2 linked regions of the Elephas maximus indicus genome follow. The protein of the gene in region 1 interacts with the protein of each later gene in a pairwise test. Links are inferred from orthologs where the notes say so. Each region holds a gene or a part of one and is shown on either strand. Other genes may lie near its edges.

What was found.
Region 2: the proteins of NUPR1 (region 1) and KNSTRN interact in a two-hybrid assay, tested with the Homo sapiens proteins (2 studies listed by BioGRID and IntAct). The link is inferred for Elephas maximus indicus from reciprocal best matches to the Homo sapiens genes NUPR1 and KNSTRN.

Annotation. Positions count from the first base shown.
Region 1 is NC_064830.1:89,000,558-89,016,229, reverse strand, and holds NUPR1 (nuclear protein 1), read left to right. Parts: upstream 1-9,534; 5' UTR 9,535-9,629; coding exon 9,630-9,744; intron 9,745-10,201; coding exon 10,202-10,338; 3' UTR 10,339-10,351; intron 10,352-10,830; 3' UTR 10,831-11,125; downstream 11,126-15,672. UniProt on the Homo sapiens protein: Transcription regulator that converts stress signals into a program of gene expression that empowers cells with resistance to the stress induced by a change in their microenvironment.
Region 2 is NC_064828.1:15,629,910-15,646,806, forward strand, and holds the start of KNSTRN (small kinetochore-associated protein), read left to right. Parts: upstream 1-10,674; coding exon 10,675-10,883; intron 10,884-11,169; coding exon 11,170-11,264; intron 11,265-15,651; coding exon 15,652-15,784; intron 15,785-16,417; coding exon 16,418-16,465; intron 16,466-16,897. UniProt on the Homo sapiens protein: Essential component of the mitotic spindle required for faithful chromosome segregation and progression into anaphase.

The sequences.
Region 1 (15,672 bases):
ACCCGCCGTTTCCCACCCTCTTCCCGGGGTCGCCAGGGCGCAGGCGCAGACCCCAAGGCGAGCCGAGCGTGCCACCGCCCGGCCCCGCCCCTCCCTACCCAGGGCGCGTGCGCATCCCTCTCAGCAGCGCCTCGGCGGGGCCCGAGGGGAGACGCCAAGGGGGACCTCCGCCCTTTGCGGCTGCGATTCTCTGGAGGTCCCAGACCGCGACCCATCCCACCTACCGTGTCACTGACGAAACAAGCACGTCGCGCTGGAAATTGCGACAGCGGGAAACAGGCGCGGTCCTTGAACACCTCTTCAGGGTCCGCAGAAGATAACGCACTTGCGTTCGAAGATTAGCCGCACGTCAAGCCTCACACGCGCTTTTTTCTCTTTCATGAACCGAGGCGCAGCGGGAGGACCCCCGTGCGCTTGCGCGGTCCGGCCTTTTGTGACGTGCCGTGCTGTCCCTTGGGAAATGTAGTTTTTACTTTGACACACTATTTCCGATTCTTCAGCTGAATCTTAATAAACCAGGGTCCTTGTGTGTTTTCAGTGTCCTCTCTCAATTCCCAAAAACATCTATTTAAACACATATATATGTATGTATAAATGGGCATATTTTTAGACCCAGAAATCACACGGAATTCTCCCCAGGAAGATATTAAGGGTTTGGGCAAACAAACATTTAGCTACAAAGATTTTTATCAAAGGATATCATAGTGTCTTGTAATTTCTTATATAACCTCTACCAAAGTTTGATATGTATATTTGATTATTTGGTGGACTGGCCAGCTCCATGAGGTCGGGATCATTTGTCTTACCTATGTATTCCCAGTACCTAGCACAGTGCCTGGCACATAATAATAAAAAAAAAAATTTAGGACCTCAGTAAATACTTTTCTGTTCATTAGAGTATCTCAAACTTCAACTCTGCAGCCGTTTCAGCCCAAAACTTAACATATGATTTTCCTCCATCAAGCTTTCTTCCTGTAGTCCCTATCTCAATAAATGGCATCTAACCAGTCTCAGTTCTATATACTACATTTTATGAAGGTTGTACTAGCAGTGACTTTGCAAATTTTGTGTTTGTAAAGGTCTCAGGGGCTTTCTCTCCTAAAGATTAAATATTGACCCCCCCCCAGTTACTCATCAGGAGAAATTCGGGGCTCACAATTATACATTTTTTAATGTAACGTTAATTTCTAGCCCCCGGACTTGGCTAGTAACTGAAAGGATGACGGTTTGAATACACACAGCCGCATTGCGGAAGAAAGACCTGATCTCCTTCCGAAAAATCACAGCCTTTGAAAACTACTGAGCACAGTTCTGCTCTGAAACGCATGGGGTTGCTGTGAGTCAGAATTCACTTGATGGCAACTGATGTATCTTTAATCTCTAATTTTTCTATAATGAACATGTATTACTTGGATAATTAAAAAAAAAAACAGTGTTTTAGAGTGTTGCACACAGAAGGGATAGCTCTGTTCCGCCCCCCCCACCCCCGCCCCCCGCCCCGCTCCATCCAGATTTCTCAAAAGAATTATTTATCGTCGGTTTTCATTTCCTCACCTCCTACTGGGCACAATGACAGGAGCCAGCACCTGGGAGTGATCCTTGGCATCACCCTTTTCCTCCCCTCCCACATCTAATCTGTCACTAAGGGTCTGCAATTTAAAAATATCTGCTTACATTTGTTGAGCACTTACTATGTATCAGGCACTATTGAAAACGCTTTACAGGTATTCATTCCTGTAACACAATTCACCCACTTTTCACCTCTGCCACATTCACCCAATTTCATGCTGCCTCTGCCCTTGCCTGCATAACTGCAAAAGATTTTTATTTTTTAATCCAGGTACAGAGGTCGAGACACTCATATTTCTCACTTCATGGTGCACTGTCGTCATTGGGCTCTGCACGGCCCTCTCATTTTATGTTTTAATAACCTTCTATCCCTTCTCCACTCTTCCCTCCTCCCCCAATAGTGTACATGTGTATCCTTGTGAAACATGGGCATGGTTGAGTGTGCATGTATTTTTTTTTTTAATTGTACTTTAGATGAAGGTTTACAGAACAAACTAGCTTCTCATTAAACACGACACATACTGTTTTATGACATTGGTAAACAACCTCAGGATGTGTCAACAGTCTCCCTTCTTGACCTTGGGTTCCCTATTACCAACTTTCCTGTCCCCTCCTGCCTTCTAGTCCCTGCCCCTGAGCTAGTGTGCCCCTTTAGTCTCATTTTGTTCTATGGGGCTGTCCAATCTTTGGCTGAAGGGTGAACCTCAGGAATGACTTCCTTACTGAGCTGAAAGGGTGTCTAGGGGCCGTATTCTCAGGGTTCCTCCAGTCTCTGTCAGGCCAGCAAGTCTGCCCTTTCTTTTTGAGTTAAAATTTTGTTCTACATTTTTCTCCAGCTCTGTCCAGGACCATCTATTGTGATCCCTGTAAGAGCAGTCAGTGGTGGTGGCTGGGCACCATCTAGTTGTACTGGACTCAGACTGGTGGAGGCCGTGACAGATGTGGTCCATCAGTCCTTTAGACTAATCTTTCCCTTGTATTTTTAGTTTTCTTCATTCTTCCTTTCTTCCTTTAGTGTGCATGTATTTTTAATTTACCTAAATGGCATTGTGCTATAAACCTCATTCTAGTTCTTACTTTTTCCACTCAGCACAGTACTTTTAAGACCTGTTCTTGTTGTAGGTACACCTAACCTGTTACTTAGAACGACTGTGCAATATTCATAGTGGGCACCCATATTTTACTTATTCAGACCCGTGGCGATGGACCTCTGAATTGCACATCTAGCTCAATTGGCATAACATAGTTTATAAAGAAAATGTTCTACATCCTACTCTGGTGAGTAGTGTCTGAGGTCTTAAAATTTCTGGATGGCCATGTAAGATACATCTACTGGTCCCACCCTGTCTGGATCAAGCAAAAATGAAGAAAACCAAAGACAATGGAAAGATTAGTCCAAAGGACAAATGGGCCACAGCTACCACAGCCTCCACCAGACTGAGTCCAGCACAAGTAGATGGTGCCTGGCTACCACCGCCAACTACTCTGACAGAAATCACAATACAGTTTCTGGGACAGAGCAGGGGAAGAATGTAGAACAAAATTCACACTCACAAAAAAAGACCAGACTTACTGGTCTGACAGAGACTGGAGAAACCCCAAGATACCTTTTTAACTCAGTACTGAAGTCACTCGTGAAGTTCACTGTCATGGATTGAATTGTGTCCCCCTAAAATAAGTGTCAAGTGTCAATCTGGCTAGGCCATGATTCCCAGTACTGTGTGATTGTCCACAATTTTGGCATCTGATGTGATTTTTCTGTGTTGTAACTCCTACCTCTATGATGTTAATGGGGCAGGATTAGAGGCAGTTATGTTGATGAGGCAGGACTCAATCTACAAGATTAGGTTGTGTCTTAAATCAATCTCTTTTGAGATATAAAAGACAGAAGCAATCAGAGAGACAGGGAGACCTCATATCACCAAGAAAGTAGTACCAGGAGCAGAGTGCGTCCTTTGGACTGGGTCTCTGCATTAAGAAGCTACTAGACCAGGGGGAGATTGATGACAAGGATCTTCCTCTAGAGCGGAGTTGGAGCTGGTGCCCTGAAGCTGGTGCCCTGGAGCTGGTGCCCTGAATTCGGACTTCTAGTCTACTATTTTGTAAGAGAGTAAACTTCTGTTTGTTATAGCAGCCCTAGATAACTAAGACAATCACCCTTCAGCCAAAGATTAGACAGGCCTATAAAGCAAAGCAAACGATAACACACGCAGTTCAACCACGTATACAAAACTAAATGGGCACGCCAGCCCAAAAGCAAAGACAAGAAGGCAGGAAGGGACAGGAAACCTGAACGACTGGAAATGGGGAACCTGAGGTCAAGAGAGTGAGAGTGTTGACACATTGTGGGTTTGGCAACCAATGTCACAAAACAATATGTGTAATAATTGTTTAATGAGAAACTAATTTGCTCTGTAAACATTCGCCTAAAGCACAATTAAAAAAAAAGATTCCTTCCCCAATTAATACTGATAATAATAACTAACGTTTGTTGAACAGTTACAATGTTCTAGGCACAGTGTTAAGCCTTTATAAGAATTGGTCTTTTAATCCCCACAATACTCCCACAATGTAGGTACCATTATTAATCCCATTTTTAACAAAGGAAACTGAGAGACACAGAGAGGCTAAATAACTTATCGAAGCCTATGCAACTAACAAGTGGCAGAACCAAGCTTTGGACTCAGGCAGTAGGGCTCCAGATCCTACTGCCTTCACCGTAACTAAACCAGACCCAATCATTGCATTCTAGTGGACAAATAATAGAGAAGTAAACAAATAAAAACATACATTCGATTAGCAATGACTGAATGCTATGAAGAAAGTAAAATAAAATCAGGGTAGTGGGATAAAGAATAACTGTTGGGGGAGAGGGATACAAATAAAAACTGCAATGAGATATCACCTCACCCCTATTCGAATGGCAATGATTGAAAAAAAAGAGAAAACAAGTGTTGGCGAGGTTGTAGAAACTGGAACACTCATCCATTGTCGGTGGAAGTGTAGAATGGTGCCTCCACTGTGGAAAATGGTTCAAAAGTTGAACATAGAACTACCATATGACCCAGCAATCGCAGTCCTAGGTATGTACCCAGATGAATAAAGACAGGAGCGCAAACAGAAACCTGTACACCAATGTTCATTGCAACACTTTTAACAATAGCAAACTGGTGGAAACAGCTGAAAGAAATGCCCATTAACAGATGAATGGATAAACAAATGTCGTATATACATACAATGGAATATTATACAGCCATAAAGAGAAATGAAGCCTTGGTGCATGCCACAACACGGAGGAACCTTGAAAACACTGTGCTGAGCAAAGTAAGTCACAAAAGGATGATCTCGCTTATATGAAATATAAGCAAACACATAGAAACCTAAGATTGTTAATAGTTAGCAGGTGTGGAAGGAAGGTGGAAAAGGGGAGTTTTTGTTGGGGGAGAGCACTGAGTTTAAGTTAATGGTGGTGGAATATTTTGGATGAGGATAGCGATAATGGCGGCACGACGTGAAAAATGTAATAAGTGTCATTGAGTTGTAAATGTGGAAGTCGTGTTGGCGGATGTCTTGGTGTGTATGTTTTCACCCAATTAAAAAAAAGAGAGAGAAAAAAAAGAATAACTGGGGGATATGTGTGGTGTTTTTCTTTTCTCTTTTTTTTCCTCTCTTCTCTTTTTTTGTATTGTACTTTAGGTGAAAGTTTACAGCTCAAGTTAATTTCTCATTCAAAAATTTATACACATATTATTTTGTGACAGTTGTAATACCTACAATGTGACAGCATGTGTCCCCTTTCCACCACAGGTTCCCTGTGTCTATTTGACAAGTTCCTGTTCCTTCCTACCTTCTTACCCTGCTTTTGGTCAGGAGCTGCCCATTTGGTCTTGTATATCTGATTGAACTAAGAAGCACATTCCTCACGTGTGTTATTTTTTGTTTTACAGTCCTGTCTAATCTTTGTCTGAAGAGTAGGCTTCGGGAATGGTTTCAGTTTTGGGTTAATAGTGCCTCTGGAGGCCTTAGTTTCGAGGGTTCCTCCAGCCTCTGTCAGACCATTAAGTGTGGTCCTTTTATGCGATTTTGAGTTCTGTTCTACATTTTTCTCCTGCTCTGTGCGGGACTCTCTGTTGTGCTCCCTGTCAGGGCAGTCCTTGGTGGTAGCTGGGCACCATCCAGTTCTTCTGGTCTCAGGTTGCTGGAATCTCTGGTTCATTTGGTCCTTTAGTCATTTGGGCTAGTATTTTCCTTGTGCCTTTGGTTTTCTTCATTCTCCTTTGCTCCGAGTAGGATGGAACCCACTGAAGTATCTTAGATGGCCTCTCGAAAGCTTTTAAAATCCTAGGTGCCATTCACTAAGACGGGATGTAGAACATTTTCTTAATAAACTGTTATGCCAGTTGACTTAGATGTCCCCTGAAACTATGATCCCCAGGCCCCAGCCCCAGCTACTCTGTCCCTCAGAGTGTTTGGATAGGTCCAGGAAACTTCTTTGTTTTTGCTTTGGTCCAGTTGTGCTGACTTCCTCTGTATTTTGTGTTATCCTTCCCTTCACCAATGTTGATCCTTGTCTACTAACTAGTTAGTGATTTCCTCTCCTCCTCCCTCCCCATGTGTGGGATTTTAGAGAGGGGTGTGCATTAATGTGCTAAGGACCCCTTCTCCCCCATCACACACCTTCCAGAGGTTGCAGGCCTGTGTAGTTTTCTGTAACCCCTGACAGGTGCCTCCACACAGAGCAGCCAAACCTGTGCCACTGTTTGACCAGCTGTGCTGACTTAGAAGGAGCACTGGAATTGGGGTCAGGTGGACCATGGGGAGGAATCCTTCACCACTCACTAGCTATGTGGCATTGAGCAAGTCATTCTCTGAGCCTCATTTTCCTTCTTTGAGGGAATGGGGGAAGTAATAGTACTCACCTTGTGCCTGGCTCTGGACTAAGCCCTTTCACGCATTGGGCACTATTATTACACTCCCTTTACAGATGAGGAAACTGAGACTCAGAAGGGAGCCCAATATCTCCCAGCTAGGAACTAGTGAAGTCTGGCTGAAGAGGGAAATGAGTGAATGACCTATTCCTCAACAGGGCCAGGATGTCCCTTTAGGGGACATCTTGGGAATATGTGGGATTCGTGGGGGTGTTTTTGAAAAGGAAAGGGCAGAACAGTCCCACAAGTAAAGTGTTGTCTCACGTCCTACATGATATTTGACTGTCCTGCTAGACATTCATGAAGGTAAAAAAACGTATTTATAATTATCTGAACCTAATCTCATTCTGGAAACCCTGGTGGCGTCGTGGTTAAGTGCTACGGCTGGTAACCAAGAGGTCAGCAGTTCGAATCCGCCAGGCGCTCCTTGGAAACTCTATGGTGCAGTTCTACTCTGTCCTATAAGGCAACTGTGAGTCAGAATCGACTGGACAGCAGTGGGTTTGGTTTTTTTTGGTTTGAACCTCATTCTAGCACCACTTCTGCCTGCCTTTCTGCCTTGCCTGAGGCAGAATTAAATTAAGCTTTTGTTTTCCAGCTTTGGGTGGTTTGTGAGTTGACACCCAGAAAATGAAAATGAAAGTGAGGACAGGGGAACACTTGAATAAACACAGGATTGTGATTATAACAGGCCAGATGATAAGAGGGAAATAACCTCAATTTAAATAAAGATAATGACTGTAGAGGTGATTAGTTCTGTTGTACATGGGGTGGCTATGAGTCAAAACCGACTCAGGCATCTAACAACGATAACAACCTCATTCCAAGTCTGATTAGAGGAAATTGTTTTTCTACTGCCTTCAGTAATAAAGCCCACCCCTTTGGAAGAACATCGTATTTCCTAATTTTTCCACCTCAAAGCTGGAAAACAAAAGCTAAATTTAATTCCGGCTCAGGCAAGGAAGGAAGTCAGGCGAAAGTGCTGCTTCTTGTTAAACAAAGGCCAAGACAGGTTATTATAGGGTTTGGGGAAAGGGTGAAGTTTGGGTAACACTGAAACAGAACAGTAGTTTAATGGTTTCAAAGCAAAGTGGGGGTGTGAGCAGAGAATTAACAACTGACCCAGGCTGAAAAGGTCCTGTTTTGTTTGGAAACTACAGAGTTTACAAAAAAAAAATAGTGAACAACTATCTATATGGGATCAAAGTGACAACAGCAACTGGCAAGATTAGGGAGGAACCTTGGGAGGCAATGAGTTTACGTTAATGCAAGAGGAACAACTCAGAAAAGGAGCCTGAGAATAGTTACGCAACTGAAGAATGTAATCGATGTCACTGAATTGTACATGGATCTCTGGTTGTGTAGCGGTTAAGGGCTAAAGGTGTTAACCAAAAGGCTGGCAGTTCAAAGTCACCAGCTGCTCCTTAGAAACCCTATCGAAGCAGTTCTACCCTGTCCTATAGGATTGCTGCGTAGAAATGGTTGAATTGGCCTGCATTTTGCTGTACATATTCTCAACAAAACAATAAACTTTTTTTTAAATTCACACTTTAAAATCAGGTTAAGAAAAAAAAAAAAAAAGACTGTTGTGATATTGTGACTGCCTAGTTCTCTCACCCTGGACAGCAAGAGCTGGGAGTCCATGTATAAGCCTTAGGAAAACACGAGTGAACAACTGAGGCCATAGCCTTTCTGGGTCAACATGACCCACACAGTTCAGATCCTTGAGAAAAGAGTGGAATGTTCCATCTTCACTTGTTTCTTATCGGAACCAAAAAAAAAAAAAAAAAACCCACTGCCACCGAGTTGATTCCAACTCATAGCGACCCTATAGGACAGAGTAGAACTTCCCCATAGAGTTTCCAAGGAGTGGCTGGTGGATTCGAACTTCTGACCTTCTGGTTAGCAGCCGAACACTTAACCACTGCACCACAGGGCTCCTTATTGGAACACATTCCTTAAATTCATACTAATTCATAATATGCACAAATATCTGTTTACTTCATTATGTCTTCTACCTCAGTAGATCCATGTTACGAAACACATTGTATTATAAATTAATTTCCTTCTGTGTCTCCTTTATATTTCAGTTAGGGCACTGAGTTGTTTTGAAATGATATGACTAACCCTTACATAGTGTTTACACTGTTCCAGGTACTGTTGTGAGTTCATTTGCATGTATTATCTCATTTGGTCTTCACACCAACTCTATGTGGTAAAAAACCAAACCAAACCCATTGCTGTCAAGTTGATTCCTACTGTAGGTACGATTATTATTATCCTCATTTTACAGAGGAGGAAACTGAGACACAGAGAGGCTCGTACAGGAAGTAGTGGATCAGGGGTTTGAACCCAGAGCGTATGGCTCACAAATCTACTCTCTAACTACTCTGCTAGCTCCCTCTCATGGGAGGGAGATTACCTAGGGACCCCATTTCAGAATATTAAGGAGATTTTCCAAGATAGTTCTTTAAAAAAGGGGTGTTGGGTGTGATAGGGGTGAGAACCACTGACCTAGCCCACAGTAGGTAGAGAGTAAATGGTAGTGGAGTTGAACTAAGAAGGACACATGTTGATATTCCCTTCCCCTTCCTTCTTCACTCTATATTCTGCCATCACAGTCCTGAATCTGAACCAGAATTGGGGGAGAAGATGATCTGTGTGGCCATAACCCCAGGCTCAGGAAGGGTACAGGATCAGAGGGGGGATGGACAGGAAGGAATCAGCCCAGGTGAGGATGTCAGGTCCCCACTGGCCAAGATCCCAATAACTGTTTATATCTAGGCTCTCCCTCTTTTCTCCTCTTCCCCGAAGGGCGGGGTCACCTCTGTGGAAAAATCCCCAGCTGGGTGACCCCGGAGAGAGGGAGAGGGTGAGGGAGGCTGGGATTCACAGGATCCAACTCTTTTCCCCTCTCGTGACTTGTGTTTACTAGGCCGGGTTCTGGGAAAGGGCCAGATTGCATCAGCCAGAGCCTAAGGGACTGGAGCCAGACTGTGGGCTGAGGAGGAGACGTGGCCTTATAAATTGGGGCAAGTGAACTGGACGGGGAGAGGTGCCCAGTCAGGAAACCAGACACAAACAAAGCTTTACAAGAAGACAAAGAAGAGAGGCAGTGAGAGAAAGCCAGACATGATGGCCGCATTTCCAGGAGCAGCCAGCCCCTCCCAGCAACCCCTGGGCCCAGAGGACGAGGACTCTAGCCTGGATGAGTATGACCTGTACAGCCTGACCCACTCCTACCTGGGTAAGGCCCCAGGGCTCTGCCACCTTCCTGGTCCTTCCACTTTTAATCCCTGGCCTCCACAAATGCTGACAACCCCGTCCCCTACCCCGAATCAGGACCCCTCCTTGGACTTCTCCTCACCACTCGCCCTTTTCCAGACAACCTATTCTCATGGCCCCTCAGGTCAGCCTGTGACCCCTAAGTCTCCCTTTTTGATCTCCCATCCACTGAACCCTGTCTTAATCAGCCTGGGACCGCACACACTTACAGATCGTCTGGGGTCTCTAATTTCACAGATGAGGAAACAAGTTGACAGGGATTGTGACTGCCCCAGAGTTACAGGGTGACAACCTCCCAGTCTCCCTACTCCAGCCCAAGCTCTTACCTACCCTGCCACAGTCTGCCTACTTGCCTCTCCTGTGAACTCTTTTATCACACCTCAGCCCACCTCCCCTCTGACACCAGCCTTGGCTTCCAGGAGGACGTGGCCGGAAAGGTCGCACCAAGAGAGAAGCTGCTGCCAACACCAACCGCCCCAGTCCTGGTGGGCACGAGAGAAAACTGGTGACCAAGTTCCAGAATGCAGAGCAGAAAAAGAGAGGGGCACGTCCCTGAGACAGAATTGGAGGTAAGGAGTCAGGGGGCCCCCCTGAGCACCAAAGGAGGTCCCTCTGCCTCAAAAGAACAGGCTTACATGTGTGTGGTTTGGAGAAGCAGGAAAAGGGGTCTGCAGAACTCCTGTTGTCTCTACACAGAATAAAATATCCTAATGACCAGAGCGGAAACCCTGGTGGTACAGTGGTTAAGTGCTACGGCTGCTAACCAAAGGGTCGGCAGTTCGAATCCTCCAGGCAGTCCTTGGAAACTCTGTGGGGCAGTTCTACTTTGTCCAGTAGGGTCGCTGTTAGTCGGAATCGACTCGACGGCACTGGGTTTGGTTTGGTTTGGTAATAGCCAGAGCAAAAAGGGAAACAGTATTTCCAGTTAGAGGGAAATTTGGTTTACAGAAAGGGAAACAGGCCCAGAGAGGTTAGGGTGCATATACAGAGCAAGTGAGCAGGAGCGGCAGAATTCAAGCCAGGTCTCTGTGCCTTTCCCTCCCCGCAGATGAGGCCAGAGCACAGACACCACACCACGGCAATGGAGACAGGACCACGGCGGCGGAACTGCAGAGGAACTAGGACCTGGAGCAGGGTCCAGGCCTCCTTGACCCCAGGACTTACCCCACCTGACTGAGGCCCCAAGAGCCACCAAGGAAGCATCCCGGGCCCCTAACAAAAGGGCCAGATGGAGAGCATGAGACAAAGAATGGAGGGGCAGAGTTAGGGAGGTACACCCCCCCCAAAAAAAGATGCTGAAGAAACTGGGTGACAGCAACAATAAAGAGATAAAATACAGCAGCTGCAGCTTGTGTATGTGTTTGTATCCCCTCTCTCTTTGTGGGGGTGTTTTTTGGGGCACCTTTCTGTCTGCATGTGTCTGCATTTGCATGAACCGATGAGAACGTTTTGTGTGCACGTATTTGGGGGTGTTCTTGGTTTTGTAGAGCTCGACTGCCATGAGCGTGTGTTTATTATGCATGTGTTGTGATGTATACGTTTCTGTGGTCTCTTGTTGGGTGCGTGGGAATTTCCTCTTTCTTTGCAGTACTGTCCATGAAACAACCCTCCTCCCCAGCCTCTACCCAAGATCAAAATCTTGATGATTATGTTGTGGTTGCATAAAACCACCTTTTGAAGGGAACGGTGTTTACTGGTGCTAGCCACACAGTGGAGAAAACTAAGATTACAAACATGAAGGGACTGGCTTACTCAGGGCTCAAATTCAAGGATTCTTACTGTCCTCAAGCACAAGGAGGGTCCCCTTCCCAAGGGGGCTGCCAGGACAGGGTTCTAGGAGGTCAGCTGGGCAAGGAAGGTTTTCACTCAGTGGTATCAGTGTCAGTACCAGCATTTGAGCAAAAATGTGGGACAAATAAGAGACGTGGTTGGAGCTAAGAGGATATATTAGTTAAGATACAGGTTCAGGCTGCTGTAATGAACAGTCACACAAAACAGGATAGAAACTTATTTCTCCCTTGTAACATCTTCAAGGGTAAGTACTCCTGGGCTAAAATGGCAATCCCACTGTGTCAGGGATTCCAGATGCTTTTAGCTCGTGCTGCCATTCTCAAAAGATGGCTTCCGTCTCGAGGTACAAGATAGCTGCTCTGAGACCCGCCATCACATCTGCATCTCATCTTGTGGAAAGCAAAGGGGGAAAGGACCAGGGTAGTCCGCACGTATTCATTTTTAAAGGTATAACCTAAAAGGACCACAAACCACATCTGCTCAGAATTTAGTCACATAGACATGCCTGACCACAAGAGACACTGGAAAATGAAGTATATATTTAGCTGCTAACCAAAATTTCAGGAAGGGCAGGATTTTACTAGTAAAGGAAACAGGAAAGAATGGATACTGGAAAATGCTAGCAAGAAACATTGCCCATAGGCTGATTCAACAGAAGTGGGGGGACAAAATCCCTAGGCCTGGCCCTGGGCAGAGCCTTTTTCCTCTTCTTCTGTAAACTTCCACATAAGCCCAAGTCTGTAGAACTTGGAGCCTGTTGTTCTTAGGGACCCAAGAGTGTTGACAGAGAAATGAGACACCCGTTGGAGCAGTAACACACGCATAGTAGACAAAGACCAGCTTGGACCTTCCGGGCCTTCTATCCATCCACCTCCTCTGAGTCCAGCCTAATAACAGATTCCCAGAATCCATGAGTGGAAAGGACATTAAAATGTATCTAGTCCAACCCCACCCCACCCCATGATTGCCTCTGCTGCTTGAATATCGCTAAGCCCAGTGCCGTCTAGTCGATTCTGACTCATAGCACCCTATAGGACGGAGCAGAACTGCCCCGTAGAGTTTCCAAGGAGTGCCTGGCAGATTCAAACTGCTGACCTTTTGGTTAGCAGCTGTAGCACTTAACCACTACGCCACCAGGGCTTCCTGAATATCACTAGGGATGGAAGATTTACTGTCCTTGAAGGTTGTCAATTTCTACCTCAGGACAACTCCTTGATGTGAGCTGAAACCTGACTTGCTGTCCCTCCTCTTTGCCCTTGAACATGCTTCCGTTTCTCTGGTCCTTTCTGTCTGAGATGCCCTTAATTCCACCCACCCTGCAAGGCTCAGCTCAAGTGCTGCTTTCTCTTCAAAGTCTTCCCTGACTTGCCCTCCATCACCAGTCTCCTCACCTCCACCCCAGGCAGATCCCTCCTTGGGATCGCAAGGTAAGTCTATGCCAGGATCTCATGAAGCTCCTTCAGTTTTTCTCTCAAATGCCTCTTTCCATGATTATTTGTTTATTCATTCAACAAATGTTTATTGGACTACCTTATCAGGGCCTGGCTCAAGGCATAAACTGCAAGGCGGGTATGATTCGGATCAGGCTTTAGGGCCACTGTCAGCTCTTGAGCACAGGAGGCAAATGGCAGGAGCACCACTGGGCAGCGAGCTCTTAGCTCAGCACAGATTTGGTGGGTCAAGTTTGGAAAATCATAGTAAGAGCTCTTGTATAGGGTTGTTACTCTGTGTTTTATGGGCATTGCTCCAGTTAATCCTTATGACAACCCAACAGGGTATACTATTATTGCTTTCATTTTGCAGACCAGAAAACTGATATTCAGAGAAGTTAAGTAACTTGCTCAAGGTCACACAGCCAGAACCTGTAGGAGCTGGGTTTATAAACTCAGGTCTGTCTGATTTTTAAAGCCTGCTTCCTTTTTACTATAAGCCTGGGAAAATCCACGTACTGACAGTGGGGAATTCTAGGTTCTAGCGAATTTCTGGTCAATTACTCCTTCTGAGTCTCAGTTTTCCCGCTTGTCAAATGGAACGACTAGCCTCTCCTCCTTTTCAACTTCAAAGAAGAAAACAAGGGCTGGGAAATGCTATGTCCCTAGCTGATGTGGCCACTCCTGGTGTAGTGGGTCCTCTGACATTGTCAGGAGGCCCTACACCACCCCTCACTCCTGGTCTCTGGTTGGTCTTCCCTGGCTTCACCCTTCAATGGCACAGCCACTGGCTGAGAAGACTTAAGTGGCTGTTTCAGGAGGCTTAAGGCAATTTTTGGTATTACAGGCATTTGAATCTGGAAGGATCCCGGGGGTCAGAGGCTAGCTCCCCCACTCTGCAGAAGGAGAAATCAAGGCCTAGGGGAGGTTCAGGGGTTGGGCTGGGTTAAAGTGACACAGAGGACTAGGGTCCCAGACAGGCACCTGGCTCTGCTCTCCAGAACCTCACTTTTGTGCCTTCACTCACACTTTTCCTACACTCTTTCTTTTTTTCTCTTCTGGTTGGATGTCGTGTCTATTGCCCCAATTTCCTGGTTTTTTTCCTGAGGGCTGGGAGGACCAATAACCCCCCTTTCTCCCCAGAGGCTTACAGGTTTCCACGATTCAAAGGATTGACAGCACCTTGCAGAGAATTGAGACATTCATTATGGATTGTTTGTTTTGCAAAAGTCCTGGGCCTCCTCCACCCACCCTTTTCTCAAAGCCCACCTTAAAGGCACTCCTCAAAGGCAATACCAATAACAGCAATAGTCACAGCTACCATTATTGACTATATATGCCTCTGGGTTTCTCCTTTCGTGATTTCTGCCATATGTGCCTTCAAGCTATACCATTTGCTGTGCGACGGATTACCTTTGTGTGGCCTTTCTCGCCATTGTCTTGTAACTCCCATCCAAGTGTTTGGGTTGGACTGTGCAAATAAGATTAATTGTGGCCCACAAAAGGGAGTGGTAGGTTTTGCCATCCTGCTGGGCTTATAATAGAGCCAATTCCAAAGCAAAAAGGGGATCTCACCGCCACCAAGGAAGAAGGGCCAAGAGTGTGTCTTTTGGACCCAGGATCCCTGCACTAAGAAGCTCCTGGAACCAGGAGACTGAGGGAGAGAGAGAGCCGTAACACTGAAGATGGCGAGAAGCGGTAGCAGAGAAACGGCAGCAGGAGAGACTGGCAGAAGGCAGCGTGGTAGGCTTCCCAGCCCAAGAAGAGAGAAAGGTGAGTGCGTTTGGGCAGAAGGCTTCCTGGTAGAGTAGGGTGCCTACTGGCACTTGGAGCTAGGTTTGCCAACCCCTGGGACTAGAGCTGAGTGCCTTCAGGCCAAGGTTACTCGTGGAGTAGGGTGCCTCTGGGCCCTTATCAGCAAAGTTAAAAGAGCTTGTAACACCTTCCCCAGCAAGGCAGAGGTGGCGGGCCTGCGAGCATAGCTGAGAAGAGGCAGTCCTGATGGAAGACCTGTATCCGAGCGTTCCTCAACCTGAACTGTAACCTATGATTTAGGAAAAAATATTGGAATGATTATTCCCTGTCCTTGAGCATAGAGAATGTGACCCGGCTGGAGTTGGGCTCACAAGGACTCACAACGACACAATAACTGGGCCCTGAGGTATACAGACAATAGATGGAATAATCTTGGAAAATATCTTTTAGGGGAACTTTCACATAAGCCAGAACACGGAAGACTTTCCACTCTTATCTTTTTCTATTAACGTTTAGTGAATAGAAATTTGTTGGACCAATGAAGACCCTCCTGACTGTCGTTACTGAAACCTGTACCAGTGATTGTTAAGAAAGACAATTCAAAATGTAGGATCACAGTTTCTAGCCAATTTGTGAAAAGGTGGAGCTTTCAATGGCTTTGCCCATTTGTAATGTTGATATATACTGATGACTCTAACCTTCCTTGGACTCAGGCAGACTTGACTGTGGTAGCATGCTTGTCCGTTTTCGCACTTTTACCTATTCTGTAATTTCCTTGGACTCGGGCAGACATGGCTGTGGTAGCATGCTTGTCCGTTTCCCATTCTTGCTTATTCTGTAATATTCTGTGGGTTTAGACAGACATGTCTGTGGCAGCATGCTTGTCTGTTTTCCCATTCTTGTTCACTGTGTAA
Region 2 (16,897 bases), on another chromosome or scaffold:
TAACTCCCACCAAATGACTAGATGGGACTATGCAGGGGAGGTACTTGTGAGACACTGTGCTCAGCCATATCCTGAACAGAACCTTCTTCTTTCTTCTTTCTCTCCTTTCCCTCCCCAAGCCCATCCCTGCCTCCAAGTGAGATCCTGATGTTAGCTCCCCAAATGGTTAAGTGTTAACCAGTGTTTCCTCTAAGACTGTGGAAAACAAGTGATATTGATATAAGCCTGTCTAATAAGATGAAGGATGGCGCCAGCTACCCCCTGAGCTGATGGGATGATGGCAGGAAAACAGCAACATGTTTGAGAAAGGACCACCAAAACCAAACAGAAGAAAGAGAGTGCACATTCCACAAGTCCCTAAAACTTATAGCCCCTTTTCCCTTAAAAACCCGGAACCCATCGGTAGTCTGGTGAGACAGAGGACTTTAGGAGGAGATCATTCCCCTCTGTCTCCATACACCGGTACATCTAATGAAGTTCTTGCTACCCACCTCACCCCTGTCTCAAGAATTGGCTATTTGGGGCAGGCGGCTCTAACTCGCGAAATTGCGATAACAATTTGGTGGTCCGTAGGGGGACTCCAGCCGTTTGAGACACGGTGATCCCACGGCGGGGCCCGGGCCTGATCGACAGTTCTCCTACCAAGCGGCCGCTGAGGACTCTTTGTCCCCGGAGGCTGTCCCCAGACCCGGGCTGCCCTGCAGCACCACCAGTCCCTAACCGCGCCAAAGAGATGGGTGAAGGCAAGACCTAACCAGGATCCTGAGGTGAGTCTGCGACCCTCTCCGTATTGCGCTCAGGGCCAGGGCGGATAGGGCAGGCCAGCGTGGCTTCCGGAACTGGACCCGGGCCCTTAGTTTCTAAGGCGAGTGGCGCCTTGGATGACCGTCCCCGTGAGTAGGATCGCAAGGAGGGACTCTTGGTGACTCTAAAGCTGGGCAGGCGTATGAGTGTGTATCGGCCGTTGGTTTTTGTGTTTGGGTTGTTTTCTGTCTCTGGTTGGTGCACCCTGGTTTTGGGGAGTGGGTATAGACATCTCTGTCGGTTTAGACTGGGAGATTGAAGACCCTCTGTCTGGCACAGGGGATAGGAGGTATCTGGAGGATTGAAGTGGAGATTGAGACATTCCTAGTAATGTGTTAGACCTCACTAAAGTTGTCCTCATTCCCCTTTTCCCTTCTGGATTGTCTGGTCCGAGTGCTCTGTTTGTTTATCTTATGGGTGAATCTTATGTGTGATGGGCGTTGTCTGGGAGGTTGAGGCTGCCAAGATCACCTCTGTAGCCTGGCTGCCTGTCGGAGAGGTTGAGGCTGCAAGATTATCTCTGTTGCCTCTGTGTCTTGTGTGGAATTTATGTGTGATGCATAGAAAGTGATTGGTGAAAAAATATATATGCAGGGTGAGTTAAAACATAGAGACTCCTGAGGATTTGTTGATTGGGCTGAAAAGAAAAGGAGAGATGCATGGGGAGATCAGATTTTCAGTCTAGACTGGGATTTGAATCACAATACAGAAAACACTCAGGGCAGGGTGTTAAGATTTTAAAAAGAGGTTCTCTCCGAGAGCTCAGAAAACTCTTGGCTGCAATGCGTGAGACAAATAAATTCCTATTAGACTAAAAGAAAAAAATGGTGGTATCAACTACCCATAAAAAAAAAAACCAAAAACTAGGTTCTTGAGAATAGTTAGTTAGACAGAATGAAAAACCAAGAAAACATACTAAGAGATTCATCCCTAGGGTGCATCCTGAAACATTAGAAATTCTTTTCTTATGAAAAAAAAAAAAAAAAGTCTTCAAAAACTGAAAGAAGTATAGGGTTAAAAATCTCTTGACTAATAGAACTGGCCTGCCAAGTTTACTCTGAGATAAAGAGAAAGAAATTGTTATCTTTTGCCTTTCAAAATGCCTAGGTGCACTTAAACATATGTAAATGAACTGGGATGACTCCCTCCAGCCCCCAGTCTCCCTAACTAAAAATTGATGGATTCATTTACAAAATTGCTAAAGAGCTTTGGTACTTCCTGGGTAAATAGCCTTTCAAAATGCCTAGGTCAATTTAAATGTGAATCAGAAAGAATCAGAAATGACCTAATCTTATCTTCTACTTACAGTTAAAAGGCAGGTAGGGCGGGGCAAGATCAGGCCTTCTCAGCCCCCAGCCCTCGTCTCCAGGTTCCTATAGCTCCAGAGAACCTCTTAAAAGATTCCTTTCAACTAGGTAAAAGCTCTTTTAAGACAAAAGATAAAAAAGTGCTGTTTTACTATAGTTTATCCTGTTGGTAAACTTAAAACTTAAGAAAGTTGTAAATATCACAACCAGAAAAGTATCTGAAATTTGAGCTATGATTGATTCTACAGATTAGAACAGTATTAGACTTTCTATTAGTTCTCTCAAGGAATAGTTTGTGCCTTAACAAAACAAAACAAAACAGAACTCTAAACAAGTTCTCTCTGTTGTAAGAGAACTTTAAGGAGCCAAAAAGAAAAATACATATGTGTGTATTTAGGTCTGCTAATTTTGCGTAGTGGTTAAATGTTATGGCTGCTAACCAAAGGGTCAGCAGTTCAAATCCACCAGGCGCTCCTTGGAAACTCTATGGGGCAGCTCTACTCTGTCCTATAGGGTCCCTATGAGTCAGAATCAACTCGACGGCACTGGGTTTGTTTTTTGGGTTTAATGAATGATTTCATTTTTGCTGGTTAAGAGGATGTACCGTAAGAGACATACAACAACAACAAAAAATTTAAGAAGTTTATTGAAAAAAATAAATTTTCTTAATAACGGTCAAAAGTTCTATCTGTTTGACTAAAGTTAATGGTTTAATTTATGAGATTTTTAAGAACTTTAATGCTAAATAGCATATAAAACAAAGAATTAGGTTTCTCGCTGTTAAAATAAAATTTTCTTTGGTTACTCAGTTAAAGAGTTAATATCTTCTTTCTGTATTCTGCTTCAAAGACGAAAAGGTTCAGTCTGTCATTACAATGAGATTTCTGAGTCAGAAACCAAACAATATGGCCTAAAAAAAAAGAAAACTAAGGTTTTTACTTTAAGATTTTTGGTTAAATAAAGTATTGGTTCTTAGTAACTTACGATAAACTCCTGACAAGTTGGGAAGCCACAAAATTTTATTTAAAAAAAGTGCTAAAAAAGTTTATTTAACATGCTATAAATTACATAGAACGTTGTTAAAATCATGAGCAGTGCCTGATTCTTTCTCTTTGTGTTAAAATTTATATGTTGGTATTTCCTCTTGTGTTTTTGCCTACTATTAGGCAACAAATGATTGCTAACTTGGTGAAAACTATATTTTTTTGAATCTAGCAACATCAAAGCCAATAGATTAAATGAAGAATTACTCTTCAGGTATTTAGAGACTTGATAATCTTAGAATGTTTTTGGGATATCCCGACTATATGGCATTATGTCACAAGGTTATTATGTGTTACATTGGAAGTTTTTAAAAATATGGTTAATGTTATTATTGAAAATATTTTTATTTAAAGTTTTTTTTTTTTTAACTGATTTTATTTGGCCTTTATGTTATGCTTGTAATTAATTTCTATTGGGTCTTTCACTATAAAGAATTATGTTTATAAATTAATCATGACCATATTAAGTTTTGTCATCTACGGATAAGTTTTTACTTTACTGATTTTCTGAAAACATTTGACCAGAATATCTCAACAAAAAAAGATGGACTATATTGGACTTAGGAAGCCCTGGTGGTGTAGTGGTATATTGGACTTATGAAAAAGACTGTGACTAGACTCAGTCAAGATTTCTAGAACCTCTATGTAGAAGCTGATGGTTTTACAGACTGCAGCCGATCCAGGATCACTTGCAACAGAAGTTAACTACGTAAGACTGAGTAAATGAAACAATACTATGGGTTTTATGTGAGAATATTTCTGATGTTTTAAGGTCTTTCTTTCTGGACATAATACTTTAAGGTCCTATTTTCTACATGTAAGAAACCATTTTCCTCTTTTCTCCTAAATTGTCTAACTTTTAATGGGCTTAGTTATTTTAAATCTTGAATTAGAAGTTCCTGTTGGTAAACTTAAGAAAGTTGTAAATATCATAACCAGAAGAGTGCCTGAAATTTGAGCTATGACTGATTCTACAGATTAGAATAGTATTAGACTTTCTATTAGTTCTCTCAAGGAATAGTTTGTGCCTTAATAAATGTTGCTGTATTTATATTAATACACAGTCATAAGTTTTACAGAATGTGGTTGCTACAGAGACACACAAAAAGCAGTTACTGATGCTGCTTAGACATAAACAAACACCTCACGAGATTTGTTTCCTCGGTTCAAAGACCTTAGGGTCATGGTTTCATTGATTATTTCAGACAATTGGTCTAGTATGTTTCTATTCTACCTCCTGATTTGCTGTTTGGTGCCTGGGGGTCTTAAAAACCAGATGATGCCCAATTATCATTTATTGAACATTTTTGGCCAAAGATGCTATAACAAGATCATGATCCAAAGGAGGGAGCTGTGAGAGAGTGTATATAATTCTCCTGAAATCCAGATTTCTGGCTTTCATAGAGGTTGGGGCAACCTACATAGGCCATCGCCTTGGGTGTCCTTCTGAACCTCAAGCCTTGAAAAAAAAAACTCATTCCTGAAGCCACTTTGAGTCAAACAATTGCCCAGATAAACTAGCCAAGACCATTTTGCTCTGGGCGTTGTGTTTTTTATTTTTATTTTTTGAAGAATTCAGTCTGTTTTGAGAAACTGACTCCCAAGATCAGTAAATAGAGTTATGTTTAGGGTAAATCAGTAATCAGTTTTATCAGTCTTCAAGACAATGCTGTATGAAATACCTGTTTAATGTTTGTAATCAAACTCTCACCTTCTTTCTCTACAAAGATCTTTAAAAAAAAAAAAAACCAGGCTCTGGGAAGAGATCGACCTCATGACTCTGACTCCATTCTGTCTTAGGTTTCACTTCTGCTTCTAAAAGAAGTGATCCATGACTGTTAATAGGTAAACCAGAGAAGGACAGCTTGCCATTGAGAAGAACACTTTGTATGTTTTAAACTAATTAACTAAAAACCTCCAACAGAAGTCCCTCCTGTATTATCTTGCTAATCATGTGCTCTTAATAGAAACTTGTCTGTCACAAGTAAATTTTCCATACCTTCTGTTTTCTCTAGACAAACTTAACTTAGTGTGCCTTATAAATATGTTTTTGTGTGGTGGATCCAACTATACTAATTTAAATAATTCCTTTCTAACTAATAGTGAATTTACATGGATAATCTCGTTTAGATTCCTGGCGAATGCATGGGCAATACACTTTGAGAACTTTTAAAATTATCTTTAGGTATTCATGGTAAATACTGGAAAGGTAATGTTAATTTGTTATTCTTTGTAAAACAAGAGTCAGAAGAAAGTCTATTGGTTCAACACTCAGGGTATGGTTGGTAACATTAATTCCTACTTATGGTATATTCGAATTAGAGAAATCTTTAAGAAATTTATCAATCACTATGGGACAAATGACAAAGTTGCTAGTGGGATAGAAACACAACAGTGATCTCTGACCTCATTAAGCCAAGGTGACATGAAATAACAAAATAAGCTTAGATTTTATTTATTGGTCCAAAAAAGTGTGATATGTGCTGTAGCAAATACCTCTTGTTACATTTAGATAAATAACACAAGAGAAGGACAGAATATACAAGTAGAATTGGACAGCAAGTTACTTGGTTACACACGGTAACACCCTTACAAACACCAGATTTATTTACACTACTACAAGTAATATTCTTAGTCTACATCCTCATAGTATTAGGCATAATAAAACTTAACTTCTATTGTCTTACACACCTAAAGACAAAAGAAGGCTTTGGGCTAAAATGTTGATGTACATTGAGTTTGCTCACTTTAACAGTATGATTGATGAGAACATCGCTCTTAAGATCCTGGTGAAGAACCAGATGGTTATCTGGTGGAAAACAGCACCGTGACTTTAAAGAACCTGCCATGGTCGCCATCTAGGAACTTGACTAAGTCCAGGTATTGATCATCAAATGTGGTATCTCCAATCTCCAATCAAAAAGAGGGAATGATTTAAGAAATAATATTAGAGTCATTACTCCTTGTCCTTGAGCATAGAGAATGTGACCCAGCTGGAGCTGGGTTTACAAGGACTCACAGGGACACATCAACTGGGCCCTGAGGTATAAAGACAATAAATAGGATAATCTCAGAAAATGTCTTTTAAAGAACCTTTCACATAAGCCAGAACACAAAAGACTTTCCACTCTTACCTTTTTCTATTAACATCTAATGAATAGAAATTTGTTAGACCAATGAAGACCCTCCTGACTCTCTTTACTGAAACCTGTATCAATGATCGTTAAGAATGATGATTCAAGATACGAGATTACAGTTTCCAGTTTGTGAAAAAGTAAAGCTTTCAATGGTTTTGCTCATTTTATACCCTGTATTCTTAAGACTTGAAAAGACACGACTCCAACAACACCCTTGTCTGCTTCCCACTTTTGCCTTTTTTAAAAAATATATGAACCAGTGTAAAGACTTAAGTGGCTATTCAAGAGACAAAACAAAGACCAGTAAATAAGTATCATAAAAATAAGGAATATAGAAGTATTAAGAATTGTTTCGCTCTAGCCCTTTTACTAATTTCTATTTTAACCTTTGCTTGTGTTGTTCCTGTCTCCAGACAAGCTTATGTGTCTCGGTGTATGCCTTAATGAGTTGGTGCCTTCTCCCCGGAAGGGTAGAGTCATTTCAAGTGATTTAAAAGTTCCAGCTCCAAACGATGGTTGGTCAGAAATTTCAACCCATCACCCAAGAAGAAGAGAGGCAACAGCCTAATAAAGGGCCACTATTTTTTTTTTTATAGATACAAGGGAAACCCTGGTGGTGTAGTGGTTAATTGCTACGGCTGCTAACCAAAGGGTCGGCAGTTCGAATCTGCCAGGCGCTCCTTGGAAACTCTATGGGGCAGTTCTACTCTGTCCTATAGGGTTGCTACGAGTTGGAATCGACTCGATGGCACTAGGTTTGGTTTTGGCTTGGTTTATAGATACAAGAGAGATACAGTGATTTAACACAGACAACACAAGAGTTCCACTTCTCTAACCCTTAGGCCTCCACGCCCCCATCCAACAGGAAGCAGCTAGAGATATGGCGCCCTGTTTCCCAAGATTGAGAAACCTACAACAAAAAGGGGGAATTGAAACAGAGTGCTCAGCCATATCTTGAACAGAACCTGAGCCAATTTTTTTCCTTCTTTCTTCTTTCTCTCCTTTCCCTCCCCTAGCCCATCCCTGTCTCCAAGTAAGATCCTGATGTTAGCTCCCCAAATGGTTAAGTGTTAACCAATGTTTCCTCTAAGACTGTGGAAAACAAGTGATATTGATATAAGCCTGTCTAATAAGATGAAGGATGGCGCCAGCTACCCCCTGAGCTGATGGGATGATGGCAGGAAAACAGCAACATGTTTGAGAAAGGACCACCAAAACCAAACAGAAGAAAGAGAGTGCACATTCCACAAGTCCCTAAAACTTATAGCCCCTTTTCCCTTAAAAACCCGGAACCCATCGGTAGTCTGGTGAGACAGAGGACTTTAGGAGGAGATCATTCCCCTCTGTCTCCATACACCGGTACATCTAATAAAGTTCTTGCTACCCACCTCACCCCTGTCTCAAGAATTGGCTATTTGGGGCAGGCGGCTCTAACTCGCGAAATTGCGATAACACTTGTCACCCACCAAGAGGATTGGATAGCTTGCTAATAATGGAAATAAGGGGCATGGCACCCTTGTGGGGATGGGACCATGAATATAGGGTGTATGGAACCCTAATGAGGACATTGGTCAGTTTTGCCATACTGCTAGGCTTAAAATGAGCCATCCCAGTGGAGGGAAGGGAGGATCTCACCACCACCAAGAAAGAAAAGCCAGGAGTGGAGAATGTCATTTGAACCCAGGATCCCTATGCTAAGAAGCTCCTGGAACCAGGAGATGAGGAGAGAGAGCTGTAACACTGAAGATGGCAAGAAGCAGCAGCACAGGAATGGCTGCAACAAAGGTAGGAGGCTGGCCAGAGATGGTGTGGTGGGTTTTCCGGCTCATGGAGTGAGAAAGCTGAGCACTTTCTGGCAGGAGGCTTGCTAATAGGGTGCCTCCAGGCACTTGGTGGAACTTGGTTTGCAGACCCAGGGAGCTATAGCTGAGCGTCTTCAGGCTGATGCTTACTGGCTGAGTGGGGTACCTCTGGGCACTTATTGGGAGAACTAAAAGAGCTTTGTAACACTTGCCTGAGCTGGACAAAGGCTGGCCTAGAGCAGAGGGGCCAAAGAGAGGTGTGTCTGTGAGCACAGATGAGAAGAAACTGAACTTGAATTATAACGTGTTACTTCCCTAATAAATCCCATAACTGTGAGTATCGTTGTGAGTTCTGTGTGGCCATTGCAACAAATTTTTGAACCCAGCAGAGAAGCAGAGAGTGATGTGGGAGGAATAGTTGATGTCAGAACTGGTAAAATGTTGGAGAGGAGGTTATGTCTGACCTCTGCCTCGTAGCAATCAGTCTTGGGCTATGGATTTTGATTCTCCTCCCTTGTGAAGTTAGAGGAAGTCAGACTCCTCTACCATACAATTTTTATAACACGGAAACATTCTTTGATGGTTACCAGCAATGGGAGTGGGAGACAGGGAAAATCACTAACTAGATAGTAGAAAGGTAGTAACTTGGGTGAAGGGAAACGCAATACACAATAAAGGGGGATGTCAGCACAACATGACCAAGGCAAAGAGGATGCTGGGAGGAACGCAAGAGTAAAAGGAAACGACAGTAAATACTATTTCATACACAATCCTGCCAAAAACAGTAATAACAAACAATAATTTATGAGTAGATATATAGGGAGTAATGTAAGCTGAACAGGTGTGGGATGGTATATGGGAGTACACCCAGGAGCATATATACGTTGGGCAGAGGATATTTCTACATATGTATTTGTACTTACTACAACTATATCCATATATATAGTAGATCGCACAGGGGGCACAGTTATGAAAACTTTTTAGCCATAACCAAACACCTTGAAGGACTGGGTCACTGGACTTGAGGACTTAGGACCATATTCTTGGGGGTTATCTCGGTTAATTGGCATAGTATAGTCCACAATGTTCTACATCCTACTGTAGTGAGTAACGTCTAGGATCTTAAAAGATACAACTATTGGTCTCTTTCTGTCCAGAGCAAAGAAGAGTGAAGAAAATAAAAGTCTCAAGGAAACAGTCCAGAAGACTAATGGACCACATGAATCACAGCCTCCACTAGGCTGAGGTCAGAAGAACTAGATGGTGCCTAGCTACTACTACCTACCACTCTCATCAGGATCACAGTAGAAGATCCTGGACAGAGTGGGAGAAACATGTAAAACAAATTTGAATTAATAAAAAAGACCAGACTTACTGGTATGATTGAGACTGGTGAAACCCCAAGACTATGGCCCTTAGACACCCTTTGAAACCTGGAGCAGAATCTACTCCCAGATATCACCTTTCAGCCAAACAGTAGGCATATAAAGTGAATAATAACACCTGTGAGGAATATGCTGCTCCTTAGGACAATCAACCATATGAGACCAAAAGGGCAGCATTTGTCCAAAAACAAAGTTCAGGAGGCAGGAAGGGGCAGGAAAGATGGGCTAATGGAAACAGAGTACCCACGGAGGAAGGGGGTAGAGTGCTGTCACATTGAGGGGATTGCAAGTAATGTCACAAAACCAAATGTGTACTAATTGTTGAATGGGAAACTAATTTGCTTTGTAAACTTTCAATCAAACCACAATAAAATGTTTCAAAAAAAAAAAAAGGAGAAAACCCTATTGTTGCCCTGAGGGTTTGTATTTCTCTCCTGTATTCATTTTGTTAACTCCCACTAATCCTTCCTGAATCAAACATCACCTCAGAGAGGTCCTTCCTGATCGCCCAATTTAAACTAGATTCTGCTGCTATTCTCTCTCATAATACCTTGTACTTTTCCTTCATAGTTTTACCACAATTGGTAAATATGTACATATATTTATTTACCATTTCCTGCACTAGATTGTAAACTCAAGGGCAGACATAAGATTACTCTTGAACTTTGCTGTCCCTTCACCCAGTTAGGATAGTGGCTGTGCTCCATAGCACACAGCAAGTACTCAATAAACATTTGTTGAGTGAAATGAATAAGTGAATGCGTTAAGTGCTTGAGAACTCTGCCCCGTTATTAGAAGTAGCTTTGAATCTCTGCTTAAAATCTGGATAAATGCCATTAAAGTTAGGACTGCAGGTAGGTGCCTCAGGTATTTCAGTCCACAGGCTTTTCTCCAAGTCTCACCTGCCATTCTCCACCCTGTAACGTGAAGCTTTCTTCGAATCCAAATAACCTGTGCTCTACGTAATCAGACATCATGCAATAATATATCCTTAATAATCACAGACCAAATAATAAGGATTGTGACAACATGGACTCTCAACGTGGCCACGTTTGTGTCCCAAGCCCAGAACATGACGCGGGTGGCTCATTAGCTCCACTCAGGCCAGTAAAGTGCACCCCGCTGAGACCTGCGGGCTCCAACACCAGTGGCTGGGAAAGTCAGTCTCCCGCCTCTACTCGAATCTACCGTACAGCATGGCAGCTCCTGAAGCCATAGGCCAGGATAGTATTTTCCGTACAACATGGCTGCCTACGGAAGCCGAATCTCATTCCCTCCCGCCCAGCTACCGGAAGTTTCCATTTGAAACGGAGGCGGCGGACTCGGTCCCGGGTGCGGCAGTTACTTCAGAGCGTCTTTTGAACGAGATCGAGGAGGACTGCAGGCCGGAGCGGCGGGCTCCCGGGTTCGGCTCTCCTGGGACAAGGGATTGCGCTGAATGTGGGGGGCGGACGGAATGGGCTGGTTAACTCCCACTCATCCTTCTCGGCCTTTTGGCTAGGATCAAGTGTAAAGGTCATCCCGAAGAGGTCCTCTCTTTCCCGGCCTCTCCCCAGAGCCGGGGCTGGTCAGGTCGCGCCCGCCCCGAACCCTCGGCCCGCTTGGGCGCCCGGCTGCCGGCTAGGTCGGCGGGCCCTGCTGGGGCGGGCGGCCCAGCGCCTGATAGCTGACACCACCCTTGCATCCTCCAGGGTCCAGCCGTGCCGCCTCGTTACGATGACCAGCGTAGTTAAGACAGTGTACACTCTGCAGCCCCCCTCTGTGCTGAGCGGCGGCCTGCCCGCAGGTGGGTGTCCAACCTCGGTCCCCCTTGGGTCCCTGCAGAGCGACGTGTAGTGGTAGGGGGGTGTGTGTGCGGGGATGGGGGCACGGACCGGGGGAGTGCATTCCGTCGGCTCTAACAACCTACTCTTAAAACCAGGCTTTCTAGGTTTATGGTTGGGAGTTAGGGGAAGGGTCAAGTGGTGGGGCCTTAGACCTGCCCTGCTACCCTCCAAGACCTAACCCGTGCTGCTTAGATTCAAGCTGCTGGTTGGTCTACACTAAACCCTCGTGGCGTAGTGGTTAAGGGTTCGGCCGCGAGCTAAAAGATCGGCAGTTCGAGTCCACCAGGCGGTCCTTGGAAACCTTGTGGAGCAGTTCTGCTTTGTCTTATAGCGTCGCTATGAGTTGGAATCGACTCGTCAGTTGTGGTTTTTTTTTTTAATTCCCATTAAGCCAGGAATTGCCATTTCACGAGTTACCACTTTTATTTCCAGTGTAGACAGTCTCGAGGGCCTGGACTGTCCAGGTCGTTTGGGAAGTGGGATACTTGGTGGGGGGCGGCGGGGGGGACGGCAGGCACTAGGTTGTTGACACCATGTCATGTTTTTCACATTTATACCTTCCCAGTGTCTCTCATATAGTACTGGCTCAATAAATGTTTGTTAAGTGAAAGGAGAGAGGGATCAGCCTAGTCCCAGTATTTGAGAATAAAGAAGAGAGAGACATGATTAAAAACAACTAATTGCTTGGCCACTTGGCTTTGTTACCTTGCTTGTGGTTGAAAGTCGTTGCATAGGATCTGCAGTTGTCAGCTGCCTAATCTAGAGATTATAGCACAGAATAAGCTTCAGGCACTGGAAAACTATTGTGGGAGATGATGAAGCCGCCATTTCTGAGCCTTTCCCAGATGACTCCTTTCAGCTAGTTGATGAGCAGTAGTAGGGTTGATTGATCTGTGGGGTAAACAGGCTTTTCTCCAAGGGTTTAACAGCTTCTGTTGCCTCAGAACACCTGGGCGTTAATCCCCACGTCAGCAAGGGACTGAGGAATTGCTGGAAGACCCGAAGCCACCACATCTGCTGACCTAGCTCCGCTGTCTCCCTAGATTGCAGTGCCCCTTGCTCAGTGGGGAGTGACTAGCTCTCCCCAGCCAAGTTGGAGGTTTTCAGTGTCTTTGCTTCCTAACGTTGTCCTCCACTTCATGATCGTACATAACCTCAACAGTTAAAAATTTTTAGGCTGCCTCCCAGCTTTTTTCTTCCAATTTTGGGTATGGGTCAGTTGTTTGTGTTTTAGTTTTTGGAGTAGGTAATACATGCACATGTAAAAAAAAAATTGTTAGAGAACCATATGAAGTGAGAAACAAGTCTCCTTCCCTTCCTTGTGGATAACATAGGGCTAATTTCCAAAATGTGAAGCTAACTCATGGCCCTACTTTCCCACTTCATCATTTCAACACCAGCCACCCACATGCCCCTTTCTCTCTCTGACCCTAACCGCTCAAGAGTTGAGTCTCCACAAGTTAGGACTCTTCCTTCTAGCCTCTCTGCCAACTCTCACTAAACCCCCATTAACCCTCATGAGCTGGTTAATTCTCTAGAATGGCTCACAAAATTCATGGAGACTATTACCTGTACTTACAGTTACCCACTTATTATAACCAGACAGGACACCAGTGTAGTGACGCATCTGGCAAGCTCTGGGAGAGGCCCTGTACGCGGCCTCCCTTTTCTCCAGGCACATGTTGCTCCTCCCCTGTGCATGATGTTCTTACCAGTCCTGGAAGCCCCGAAAAGACAGCCCCAAGCCCAGGGTCCTCTAGCCGTTGGGATCTCGGTGGATATGTAGGATTGATTGTGTCTTGCCCCCTTCCTTCCTGAAATTAGTTTGCCAGGTATGGGGCCTGTGTATGTAGCCCCTACTTGCCTGGCTATTTTAAAAAACAAAGAGCACTTTAATTGCTCAGTCTGTTTTCAAAAACCATAGACAGAAAGCCAGATTTAGTTCTTTGCACCACACCTTCCACGACACCACCATCTAATTCCCCTCCTAGTGTCTCCCATTTTAAGGTAGTTGTGTTAAATCCTACAATGTTTCTCCTTCACTGCAGTGCGTGGGTTCTAGAAATATGGATTATTGGAACCAATTTGAGTCAACGATCATTTTATCGTTTTGATCGATTTACTATTAACTCATTTTTACATGGGGCTGATTTGTTATTGAGTATAACTTATTAATCCTTGGGAGCCCTGGCTGCTAACCAAAAGGCGAGGGCAGTTAGAATCCACCAGCTGCTCCTTGGAAACCCTGTGGGGCAGTTCTCTCTTCTATAGGGCTGCTATTAATTGGAATCGACTCAACAGTAACGAGTTTACTAATACTTGAGACAGGAGAAGGTAAAATATATTCCTCTAAAGTTACGTTTTACTTCAGACAGAGATGTCAAAAAGAGCCCTTTTAATATTTGCTTTGTGGGTGATGGTATCTAAAGTAGTGAAGTTGCCCGTTGAGTGTACCTATAAAGGAAAGACTGGTAACCCGAGAAATCCTATTCATTCCAAACTATTGCTAGCTAGAGTTTTCAAAATAAAGTCTTTACCAAATACAAAACCAATTTCCTAGTTTTTTTATGTTCCAGTTTCCAGTCCTTGGAAACTCTATGGGGCAGTTCTACTCTGTCCTGTAGGGTCACTATGAGTCAGAATCGACTCGACAGCACTGGGTTTTTATTTGTATGTTCCAGTGCTTTGTACCCCATTTCTTCAACTTGTCTGAGTTGTTGTGGCTCTTAACCGTATATCAAGCTTAAGAGAGCCATTTTATAGTGAACAGAGTGAAGTTAGTATAAGCTAGAAAAGCCCCTCTGTGTGTGTGTGTGTGTGTGTGTGTGTGTGTGTGTGTGTGTGTGTCAGGGGGAGTGCTTAACTCCAGAATAAGTTATTTGAATTTGCTGTGAAAAAGGAATTGTAGATAATTGGCACAAGGGCTGGGGGAAAATGCTCTCCTTTGGGAGAGAAGGGTGGCATGATAGGGCCATTTGTGTTATCTGGCAATGGCTTAGCAAGAAAATCAGAATAATGCCAAGTAGGAACCTCTAAACTTAATGGAAGGAGCCCTGGAAGGAGCTCAGTGGTTAAGCTCTCAGTTGCTAACCAAAAGGGAAAGGCCAGAGGTTTGAACTCACCAGCCACTCCGTGGAAGAAAAGACCTGGCAATCTGCTCTAGTAAAGATTTCAGCCTAGGAAACCCTATGGGGCAGTTCTACCCTGTCCTATAGGATCGTTATTAGTCGGAATTGACTTGATGGCACACAACAGCAACAAAACTTAGCGGGAAGTCTCTGGTTGGTACGAACAGTTAATGTGCTCAGCTGCAAACTGAAAGGTTGGAGGTTTAAGTCTTCCCGGAGGTGCCTTGGAAGAAAGACCTGGCAGGCTACATCAGAAAAATCAGCTATTGAAAACCCTATGGAACAGTTCTAGTCTGACCCACTTCTGGTTGCCGTGAGCTGGAGTTGACTTCGATGGCAACTGTTTTGGTTTTAACTTATGGAGGATAAACAGGTTAAAAAGACTGGTGGCAGAGCCGGTCAGCATGGAAGAGGGAAGGAAGACCAGAGGAGACACTTTCAGTTCAGGGATGAAGGTTTGTGAAACAGCCGCTGATACTGAAGTGTTACATGTATTCAACAGTTATTGAAAATGTATTAATATGTCAGATGCTCTACTAGGCTAGGGACACACAGATTATCTCTTTGAGTTGTTAGGGATACAGTCTGGGGAAAATAGCCACCAACCAACCAATTGCCATTGAGTCGATTCCATCTCACAGTGACCCCATGTGTGTCAGGGTAGAACTGTGCTCCATAGGGTTTTCAGTGGCTGAGTTTTTGGAAGTAGATTGCCAGGGCTTTTTTTTCAAGACAGACTTGAACCTTTAACCTTTCAGTTAGCAGCCAATCACGTTAACTGTTTGCACCACCCAGGGGCTACTAAAACAACAACAGCAGCAATGAAAAGAAAACGAAGCAGCTTGAGTGTTGAGTTAGGAGGGTGTGCAGAGTACTTGGAAGCTTAAGAAAATGGTACAGTTCCAGTGGTGCTTGACAAAGGACTCAGCTGTGTTCTGCCCTGCCGTCCTCCACTCTGCCTTTCATTTAGTTCTCTGCTTTTATCAACCTCCACATTCACATTGTACCCTCCAGCCATTCAGTCTGGTGTTTCATCAAGCTTTTGGCTACGCTCATTTAAAGAATTTTGGTTTCTATTTGCAGAAGTCTTATTCCGAACTAATCTTCAAAATTGAGATTGGCCAGCATGGTTTATGACAACTTGGAATGGACCTCCGTTACAGGGTTGCAGCAGCTGGGTCGTGCTGCTTGAGGTTTCACACTCTTGTTTCTTTTACAGACAAACAATCTCGAGCTACTTCTAAAAGTCTATTACCTGTTAAGTCCAAAGAAGTAGACATTACCAGACTTTTTCATTCAGGCAGTTCAGAGAATGATGTTACAAAAATCATCAAACCAAGACGAGAGACTGGGTAAGAGTCAGATCATTGGTATCTAATGAGAGCATCTTGCTGGAAATTGCTTAGCACCAGGAATGAGAAAACAGGGTTTTCAGGAGCACGTGCCATCTGAATGGGTGGCCTGTGGGCAGCGACCTAGAGCAGTGTAGCACTGCCGTGCAGTTCGTCAGAACCCTACGTGCTGGTCTGTTCTGAAGAGACACAGCAAGGCTTACTCATTGCTCTGAGTGTGCAAGTGGCAGTACTGTGGTCCAACACCAGCCCTAAGTGATATTTATGGGATGTGGGGACTAGGTGGCTGGCCTGAGCACAGTCCAGCCCCGTTGTAGTGTGTGTGTGTATATGTGTGTCTCCCAGCACAGCTCTCAGTTCCCCCATGAGTAAAGCTGACCTGATCTTGAGCAGGAGGTCTGTCAGGTTGGTGGTTGGGTGTGGTCAGGGGAGGGAAGCCTGTTCCTTATTAATACACCTTTTTTAGTAGTCTGTGGTAAAACAAAAGTGCATGAACCCTCAGAGCTTCTCAAGCTTGGGCTGTTTTCTCTGGTTCTTCACTCAGAAACTCAGGCTTTGTCCTGCCTTGTTGACAACACACGTAACAGTAGTACTGTGGTTTTCTGATTAAGTTTTTTGTTTTTGGTTCTCTAGACAGATGAAAGCTGCAGACCCTGCCCTTAAGAAGAACATCAGAAAGAGGTGAGCGAGCATCAGGGGAAATGGAACTAGGCCACTGTCGTAGGGTAGTGGGTCTCATTCAGGATCACGCTGCAGTCTGGGTTCCACCCCAGATATCTGGGTGGGGTTTTCAGGAGTAGAACAGCAGGTTTGAGAACCATCACTGGGGCAGGAATCAATGATGCTACTGTCTTGAGTAGCAGATGAGCTTATTGGGTCTCCTGTCAGGACCATGGCTGGTTCAGAATCTAACCCGGCTCTGCCAGTCAGCAGGAGCGGAAAGCCTTCCGGATCAGAGGAGCTTCATGTGGTTAGTGATCTACCCCATGTGTGCAGCGTACAACTACTCCATAGGGTTTTCACGGCTGTGGCCTTTAGAAGCTGATCTCAAGGCCTTCCTTCTGAGGTCCTTCTGGGTGGGTTCGAACTGCCAATATTTCAGTTAGTAGTTGA